Linked DNA regions of Saccharomyces cerevisiae S288C. The protein of the gene in region 1 purifies or fractionates together with the protein of each later gene. This does not show direct contact. Each region holds a gene or a part of one and is shown in the gene's direction. Other genes may lie near its edges. The genes, in order: TSA2 and FRA1.

What was found.
Region 2: the proteins of TSA2 (region 1) and FRA1 purify together in Saccharomyces cerevisiae (affinity purification with western blotting; 2 studies listed by BioGRID, with this or other methods). This does not show direct contact.

What each region holds. Positions count from the first base shown.
Region 1 is NC_001136.10:1,364,463-1,367,776, reverse strand, and holds TSA2 (thioredoxin peroxidase TSA2), read left to right. Parts: upstream 1-2,114; coding exon 2,115-2,705; downstream 2,706-3,314. Other genes in the region: bifunctional K:H/Na:H antiporter NHX1, read right to left, coding at 1-292; GUK1 (guanylate kinase), read left to right, coding at 950-1,513; PPN1 (endopolyphosphatase), read right to left, coding at 2,875-3,314. UniProt on the Saccharomyces cerevisiae protein: Thiol-specific peroxidase that catalyzes the reduction of hydrogen peroxide and organic hydroperoxides to water and alcohols, respectively.
Region 2 is NC_001144.5:79,452-84,255, forward strand, and holds FRA1 (aminopeptidase P), read left to right. Parts: upstream 1-2,009; coding exon 2,010-4,259; downstream 4,260-4,804. Other genes in the region: mannose-ethanolamine phosphotransferase GPI13, read right to left, coding at 1-754; RRT7 (Rrt7p), read right to left, coding at 905-1,246. UniProt on the Saccharomyces cerevisiae protein: Involved in the regulation of the iron regulon in responss to decreased mitochondrial iron-sulfur cluster synthesis.

The sequences.
Region 1 (3,314 bases):
AAAAAATAGAAAGCACAGTTTCATGCACTGCCCTAATTCGTTTCTGAGTTAAATAGTAACTAGACCACAATGCAGAGATCAATAGGAGCAACATAATGAACAATGCCCATGAAGAGAACATTTCTTCTGTAACAGGGTTTAAGTCTACATCAGGATCACCTGCAATAGGGTCATCGCTACCCGGGAGATCCGGGGAAGGTAGAAGTTCATCATCATCGTCAGGATCAACTGCTCTCTTGGCGGTGGTTAACAGCACCTTGAAAGCTATATTCAGCAATACCTTGGATAGCATTTTTCATATGGTATGTACTGACAGCGATAAAAGATTATCCTCTGAATTTCACTGCTTGCAATCTATGTTTAATCTACAACTATTTGTCAATCTTGGGTGCCCTTTATCTTAGAGTAGCTAGAAAAGCAACGGAAACAGAAAAAGTCACACCGTGAATAATGATTGTTCGATATCAACTTTTGCAGTTCCTTGCTATCACGTTTGTGCAAGGTATATCATCTGTCATAATCCTTTGGCAAGACTACTGCTCTGCTACTCCTTGTGTGTGCTCACGGCAGGCTACAATGCAAAATTCATCCTAAACTCTGCTCTATAAGCATTAATAAGGTGAAATTTTCACAGCCTTTACATAAAAAACGACAGTAAGTGTATAAATGTGATTGTCAAAACTGCGACGATTCGAAATGATAGCTATTTGAAGTGTAGGTTATATCGACAGGAAGTTTCGGTTCTCGAAATATGTGATGCGTCTTTCCGGCGGCGTCGATGCTAATAGCAACCGTACTCATCGGTACATTCCAAATTTCGAAAAAAAGCTTGGAAACACATAAAAAAGAAAAAAAAAAATACATTTAGCATAAATGGATACACAATGGCGTTTCTTTTTAGTTGATAACTACAGTTTACTTCGGATAAAGATTAGTAAACCTTTGCGTTATGTCCCGTCCTATCGTAATTTCTGGCCCAAGTGGTACAGGTAAATCTACACTGTTGAAGAAATTGTTCGCTGAATACCCAGATTCTTTCGGGTTTAGTGTTTCATCCACTACTAGAACCCCAAGAGCTGGCGAAGTAAACGGTAAGGACTATAACTTTGTCTCCGTAGATGAATTCAAATCTATGATTAAGAACAATGAATTCATTGAATGGGCGCAATTCTCCGGTAACTACTATGGTAGTACTGTCGCTTCCGTCAAACAAGTCAGTAAATCTGGTAAGACTTGTATTTTAGATATTGATATGCAGGGTGTCAAATCTGTCAAGGCTATCCCAGAGTTAAATGCCAGGTTTTTGTTTATTGCTCCACCATCGGTCGAGGATTTGAAAAAAAGATTAGAAGGTAGAGGTACGGAGACCGAAGAATCCATCAACAAGAGGTTAAGCGCCGCTCAAGCTGAATTGGCATATGCTGAGACAGGTGCCCATGACAAAGTTATTGTCAATGATGATTTGGACAAGGCCTACAAGGAATTGAAGGATTTTATCTTTGCAGAAAAATGATGTAGCCCTATATAGACATTACTAAGTATGTACCTGGTAGGAGAGTGCTGTCGCAAAGCGACAAAACGTCCAATTATTCAATTAATATAGTGTAAAAGTTCTCAACGGGCTTATGCTAGTTTTTTTTGTTAGTAAGCGCTACGACGACTAGAACCATCTCTTGAATTTCCAAGTGCCAAAATCAATGACCACGGATACTGTGGCCAGGAATCTGTTGGTTGGTCATCCTCAAGATCTAGACAATATCATATTGGGCCAGTATCTGATTATCTTAACTATATGCGCCCCTCTAGTTTACAAGTTTTAGTCATTGGGGGTTGGAAGGGCTGATCCCCCCTTACAATTGGCGTCGTTTAGGAGCGGGCGAGGCTCTCCTTTCTCTTACACATCTGCTAAGGTGTTTGTTACCCGAGTAATCAAGGATCAACTATGGATGAGATTTAGATTAACGTATTTAGAGCAGACGATTGTAAGAATATATTTTGTAATTTCGATTGTTTTTTGCTACTTACATTGTTTATCTTGAAATATCCAAAGTGAACACTATTACTGTTTTTTGCTCAAGAATATATTAGCCTTACAAGAACGTAAAAAACCAATCATGGTAGCAGAAGTTCAAAAACAAGCCCCACCATTTAAGAAAACCGCCGTAGTCGACGGTATCTTCGAGGAAATTTCACTGGAAAAGTATAAAGGTAAGTACGTTGTTCTAGCTTTTGTCCCATTGGCTTTTTCATTTGTCTGTCCAACTGAGATTGTTGCGTTTTCCGATGCCGCCAAGAAATTCGAAGATCAGGGCGCCCAAGTTTTATTTGCCTCCACCGACTCTGAATATTCCTTACTGGCATGGACCAACCTTCCCAGAAAAGACGGTGGATTAGGTCCAGTTAAAGTTCCTTTGCTTGCTGATAAGAATCATTCCTTATCCAGAGACTATGGCGTTTTGATTGAAAAAGAAGGTATAGCTTTAAGAGGTTTGTTCATAATCGACCCGAAGGGAATCATTAGACATATCACTATCAATGATTTATCTGTTGGCAGAAACGTCAATGAAGCTTTGAGATTAGTCGAAGGTTTCCAGTGGACTGACAAAAATGGTACAGTTTTGCCATGCAACTGGACCCCAGGAGCCGCCACCATCAAACCTGACGTTAAAGATTCCAAGGAGTATTTCAAAAATGCCAATAATTAATCTTCGCACGATAACGCTAGGCCCTATTAAATAATTAAAAATACATCACCCTATATATGATAAGAAAGATGGTTTTGTATTATTATGAAATTGACTTGAAAGAATAGTGTAACAAAAGAAAAAGAAACTGTAATTGAAGAATGATATGCATTTCTATGTGTATATTAACTTAATCATCTTTATATCCAGAAGACGCAAATGACCATTCGACGTATTTTTCCCATGCAGGTTTGTTTTCGTATAATCTGCCTGCAAGATCCAAATAACTTCCTACTGTTAACGAATCCATTGAGTATGGTTTCTCGTCTGAGGTATATTCTATCTCATACCTGAAAATATCCTTAGATTCAACAAATGAATTATGTAATTCTTGATTGATTTTTTCCAAGTCGGCGTAGAATTGGACGAAACGCGTCGGAGTGAATAACTGCGGTACATATGCAGGGCCGAGTTCGTATTTGTCTGGCATCTCAATTGGCATAGTCTTGTCATTTTTCTTTTTCTTCTTGTTTTTCTTTTCGCCCATCTTCTCGCGGTTGATCCCAACCTCGATATTACTGCTGTCCATTTCATCTTCTAGCAAAGAGTCTTCCATAATCTTATTTAGTG
Region 2 (4,804 bases), on another chromosome or scaffold:
GGCCCACATGGTCAATACCTAGCATGTGTCCAATCATGACGTCCCATTCCTTGTCCTGCTGTAAATGATCATGGAAGTAATCCATAACACCGTTATCGACAGTATCTAAGTCCCACACATTGAGTGATTCTAGTGGGAAACTATCGTTGGAAAGGAACGGATGGAACAGAGCCATCCATGTATCATCTCCGGCAAATTTGACAGTCTTATTTGCCAAATGGAGCTGTTTAAGAAAGTTATCCTCTTCGATTACTGTTCCATCGAAGTTAGACCCGGCATCAATGAAAGTCGGTAAGGACCCTGTTGTGAGACCCTTGAGTCTTTGTAAAGTAGTGGTTGGTGGGTCGGCAATGAACTTCAACAATAGGGAAGATGCATCCTTATCGCTTGCAAAAGAATCATACAATGATAATATATTATTATGATAGTTCAAGTTGTAATTAGAGTGGGATTCGTTTACAGGAATAGCGAAATCAAATCTCAAAGCGTCAATAACCAAAATCACCGCCTTGTTGAACCTAGGAGGTAACTTACTCGTTTCGTTTTGTGAGGAAATATTATCAAGAACGTGTCTTGACAGTAAGAATCCCCGAGTGAAAAAAGCTATTGATATGAATTGTAAAATGGCGATGAAAACCAATAGAATAATATAAAATTTATGATTCTTTTGAAATTTCTTTATTCGCGATTTGTATATTATTTTTTCATCATTGGAAGATGAAAGAATCGACTTTTTAATTGTCTTTTCATCCATATTACGGGAGCTTTTTTTTTCCACTTAATGTATTGATCTTCCTCCCGTTCTTTGACGATTCGGCGTTGCCCTTAAAACATATGCTTCTATTCCTTTTTTGATCTTACCCATTTATTTGTTTTTTTTTATTTTCCGGTGGACAACAAAATGTTAAAGGAAAAAAGAAAGTACCTTGCTCGTCATCGCGCTTGCATAATGTGCGCCATTACCCTGTAACAAAAACAAAAGATAGAGTGGCAACAACTTGACACAACTTTGCAATTGTACCATGAACCCCAACAAGAAAGGCGGTTGAGAGTAAATGATGTGGTTTGGTTCCTTTTTTTTCCTACATTTAAGGTTCATAGAGAAGAAAATTTTCTGAAATGTCTTTTCCTCTTTTAATGAATTGTAAAAAAGCCAGTATTGGAATAATATTCTATTCAATATAGTAAGAAAAGAGGCAATGGGCAGAAATCTTCTCCCGCATAATCCTTTAAATGCAAAATACATGTTAGGCGTCTAAATTTTTTTCAGTGAATCCAGATGCAGAAACATTTAAACAATAAATATCTTAAACCCATTTTGAAGCATCGGCGGCTAAAAAAATGATTTTGCATGGAAAAAAATGAGAGCTGTGAACCCAATAAAAAAGACAGCTTTTTAAAAATGTATAACGGTACATTAAGCTCTTGTTTATTCCTCAAACTGCTCCTAAAAACCATCCTCTCAAAAATAATAATGATAGCTGAAGATTATCTGCCACGAAATGCCATTGAGCCGCTTACTTGTAGGTTTTCATGAGTAATAACGAAGATAATTTACCCGTCTTTATAACCCACGTAAAAATAAACATATAATTATTTCTTATTATTTCAACTAACCGTTAAAGTGTTCAAATATGGTAGAAAGCTTTCCCTATGTGCATTATGATTATCTTTTAGCCGCCAGAGTTTAGTTTAATTTTGTTTTGTTTTTGACGACTTCTGGTGTTACCCGAAGGTATATCCCCGGGTGACCCCTAAAAATCGCACCCCATTTTCCCGAATTTTCTTCTACGTTTTCTTTTTTCAGAAATACTTCGAATGAGGGATGGAACAAGAAGGAAGCGACATACAAAAACTGAGTCAGTTTAGTCTTAATAGGTGCAATATTTACAAATACAGGAAAGGCAGGAAGCACTGGCAAAAAGACTGCATAGCTAAAAAAAAAAAGAATAAAAAAAAAACGGAGACCTCAACAGAGCGAAACCAATAATTACAAACAAAATCTTCATATGACTTCGAAACCATCCACCAGTGACGGCAGGGCTCACTCGATTTCCCATGTACCTGGCACGCACATGAGAGGAACATCGGCATCACACAGCCCCAGACCGTTTAGGCCATGTGCGGATTGTACGTGTTCTCCAGGCTTACTGTCTAGGCAAGGTCGTAGAGCCTCTCTATTTTTAAGACAGTTAGAAAATTCAAGGAGGTCCTCCAGCATGCTTCTCAACGAGTTGAAGGGCGCTGGCGGAGGTAGCAGTGCTGGAAATGGGTCTGTTTACTCATGTGACTCTCTATGCGCTGTTAACAGGGAAGTTAACACTACTGATAGATTGTTGAAGTTGCGTCAGGAGATGAAGAAACACGATTTGTGTTGTTATATTGTGCCCAGTTGTGACGAACATCAGTCCGAATATGTATCATTGCGAGATCAAAGGCGCGCCTTCATTTCAGGGTTTTCCGGATCGGCCGGTGTAGCCTGTATCACCAGAGACTTGTTAAATTTCAACGATGACCATCCGGATGGGAAATCCATTTTGAGTACTGATGGAAGATATTTCAATCAAGCTAGACAAGAACTAGATTATAATTGGACACTTTTGAGGCAAAACGAAGACCCAATCACTTGGCAAGAATGGTGTGTCAGAGAAGCTTTGGAAATGGCCAAGGGACTTGGCAATAAAGAGGGAATGGTGTTGAAGATAGGTATTGACCCAAAACTTATCACTTTCAACGACTATGTTTCTTTTAGAAAAATGATTGACACTAAATATGACGCAAAGGGTAAAGTGGAGCTGGTTCCCGTGGAGGAAAACTTAGTTGACAGTATTTGGCCTGATTTTGAAACTCTACCTGAAAGGCCTTGTAACGATTTACTACTGTTAAAATACGAGTTTCATGGTGAAGAATTCAAAGACAAGAAGGAAAAGTTACTGAAAAAGCTGAATGATAAGGCTTCCTCTGCGACGACCGGTAGGAATACTTTCATAGTAGTTGCGTTGGATGAAATTTGTTGGTTGTTGAACTTGCGTGGATCCGACATTGACTATAATCCAGTTTTTTTCTCCTACGTGGCTATTAACGAAGACGAAACCATTCTTTTCACCAATAACCCCTTCAATGATGACATATCGGAATATTTTAAGATAAACGGTATTGAAGTCAGACCTTACGAACAGATATGGGAACATTTAACAAAGATAACTTCGCAGGCTTCTTCTGCGGAGCATGAATTTTTGATTCCTGATAGTGCATCGTGGCAGATGGTTCGTTGTTTGAACACCTCAACCAACGCTAACGGTGCAATAGCTAAAAAAATGACTGCACAAAACTTTGCGATAATTCACTCACCCATCGATGTTTTGAAATCTATCAAGAATGACATCGAAATAAAAAACGCACACAAGGCGCAGGTCAAAGACGCAGTATGTTTAGTGCAGTATTTTGCATGGCTGGAGCAGCAATTAGTGGGGCGCGAGGCACTGATAGATGAATATCGTGCCGCAGAAAAATTGACCGAGATTAGGAAAACCCAAAGGAACTTCATGGGCAATTCCTTCGAAACAATATCCTCCACAGGTAGTAACGCCGCCATCATACATTATTCGCCGCCCGTAGAGAACTCTTCGATGATTGATCCTACCAAGATATATCTTTGCGACTCCGGTTCGCAATTCTTGGAGGGTACAACTGATATAACAAGAACAATTCACTTAACAAAGCCAACCAAAGAAGAAATGGATAATTACACACTGGTACTTAAAGGTGGCTTAGCCCTAGAGAGGTTGATTTTTCCCGAAAACACTCCCGGGTTTAATATCGACGCCATCGCTAGGCAGTTTTTATGGTCCCGCGGGTTAGATTACAAACATGGCACAGGCCATGGTATCGGATCATTTTTAAACGTTCACGAAGGACCCATGGGTGTCGGCTTTAGGCCACATCTGATGAATTTCCCCTTAAGAGCGGGTAACATAATAAGTAACGAACCAGGTTATTATAAGGATGGTGAGTATGGTATCAGGATTGAAAGCGACATGTTAATCAAGAAGGCCACTGAGAAGGGTAACTTCTTGAAATTCGAAAACATGACTGTGGTTCCCTATTGCAGGAAGTTGATCAATACTAAGTTACTAAACGAAGAAGAAAAAACACAGATTAACGAGTACCACGCAAGGGTATGGAGGACAATAGTGCATTTTCTGCAGCCTCAGAGTATTTCATACAAGTGGCTGAAAAGAGAAACAAGCCCACTATGACTTCGAGGCGAGCGGGGCGCAATACAATTAATGTTAGTATTTATTCTAAGTAGTTTCTTTCTTTTTATTTAATTTGAGTGATAACAATAACAACAATAATGACTAAAAGGTGAAAATTGAAAACATTACCTTCATTTTTTTACGGCCGGAGAGGGGTAGGTACACTTAACCCCGAGCGCTTTTAGTGCCAAAAAGAGTTAATGTGCGTAGTCGGATTTTAAACGACCATGCATGTACAGCCCCCTAGTGATTTATACTGATGCCTCATCAAGAAATTTTTTCATCCAGGGTCCCTGCTCGGCGAACCTTTCCGCAAGAGTCACAAAAATCAATCTTATAACCAGGCACCAGTAGTACTGCCAAGCTTGGACTACATAGCCAACGTAAAGACAAGGAGTCTGATTTAGTATTTCTTTTTTGCCAGCCAGTATTTTCTGCGCAGGATAGATTATTTTAAGAGCCGAGAATTCCTTATGCGGGCCCGGTCACAACGGATTATAGGTTCCGCCAGACCCCGTTGCTTTGGTTCCATGGAGCAGGAGCAG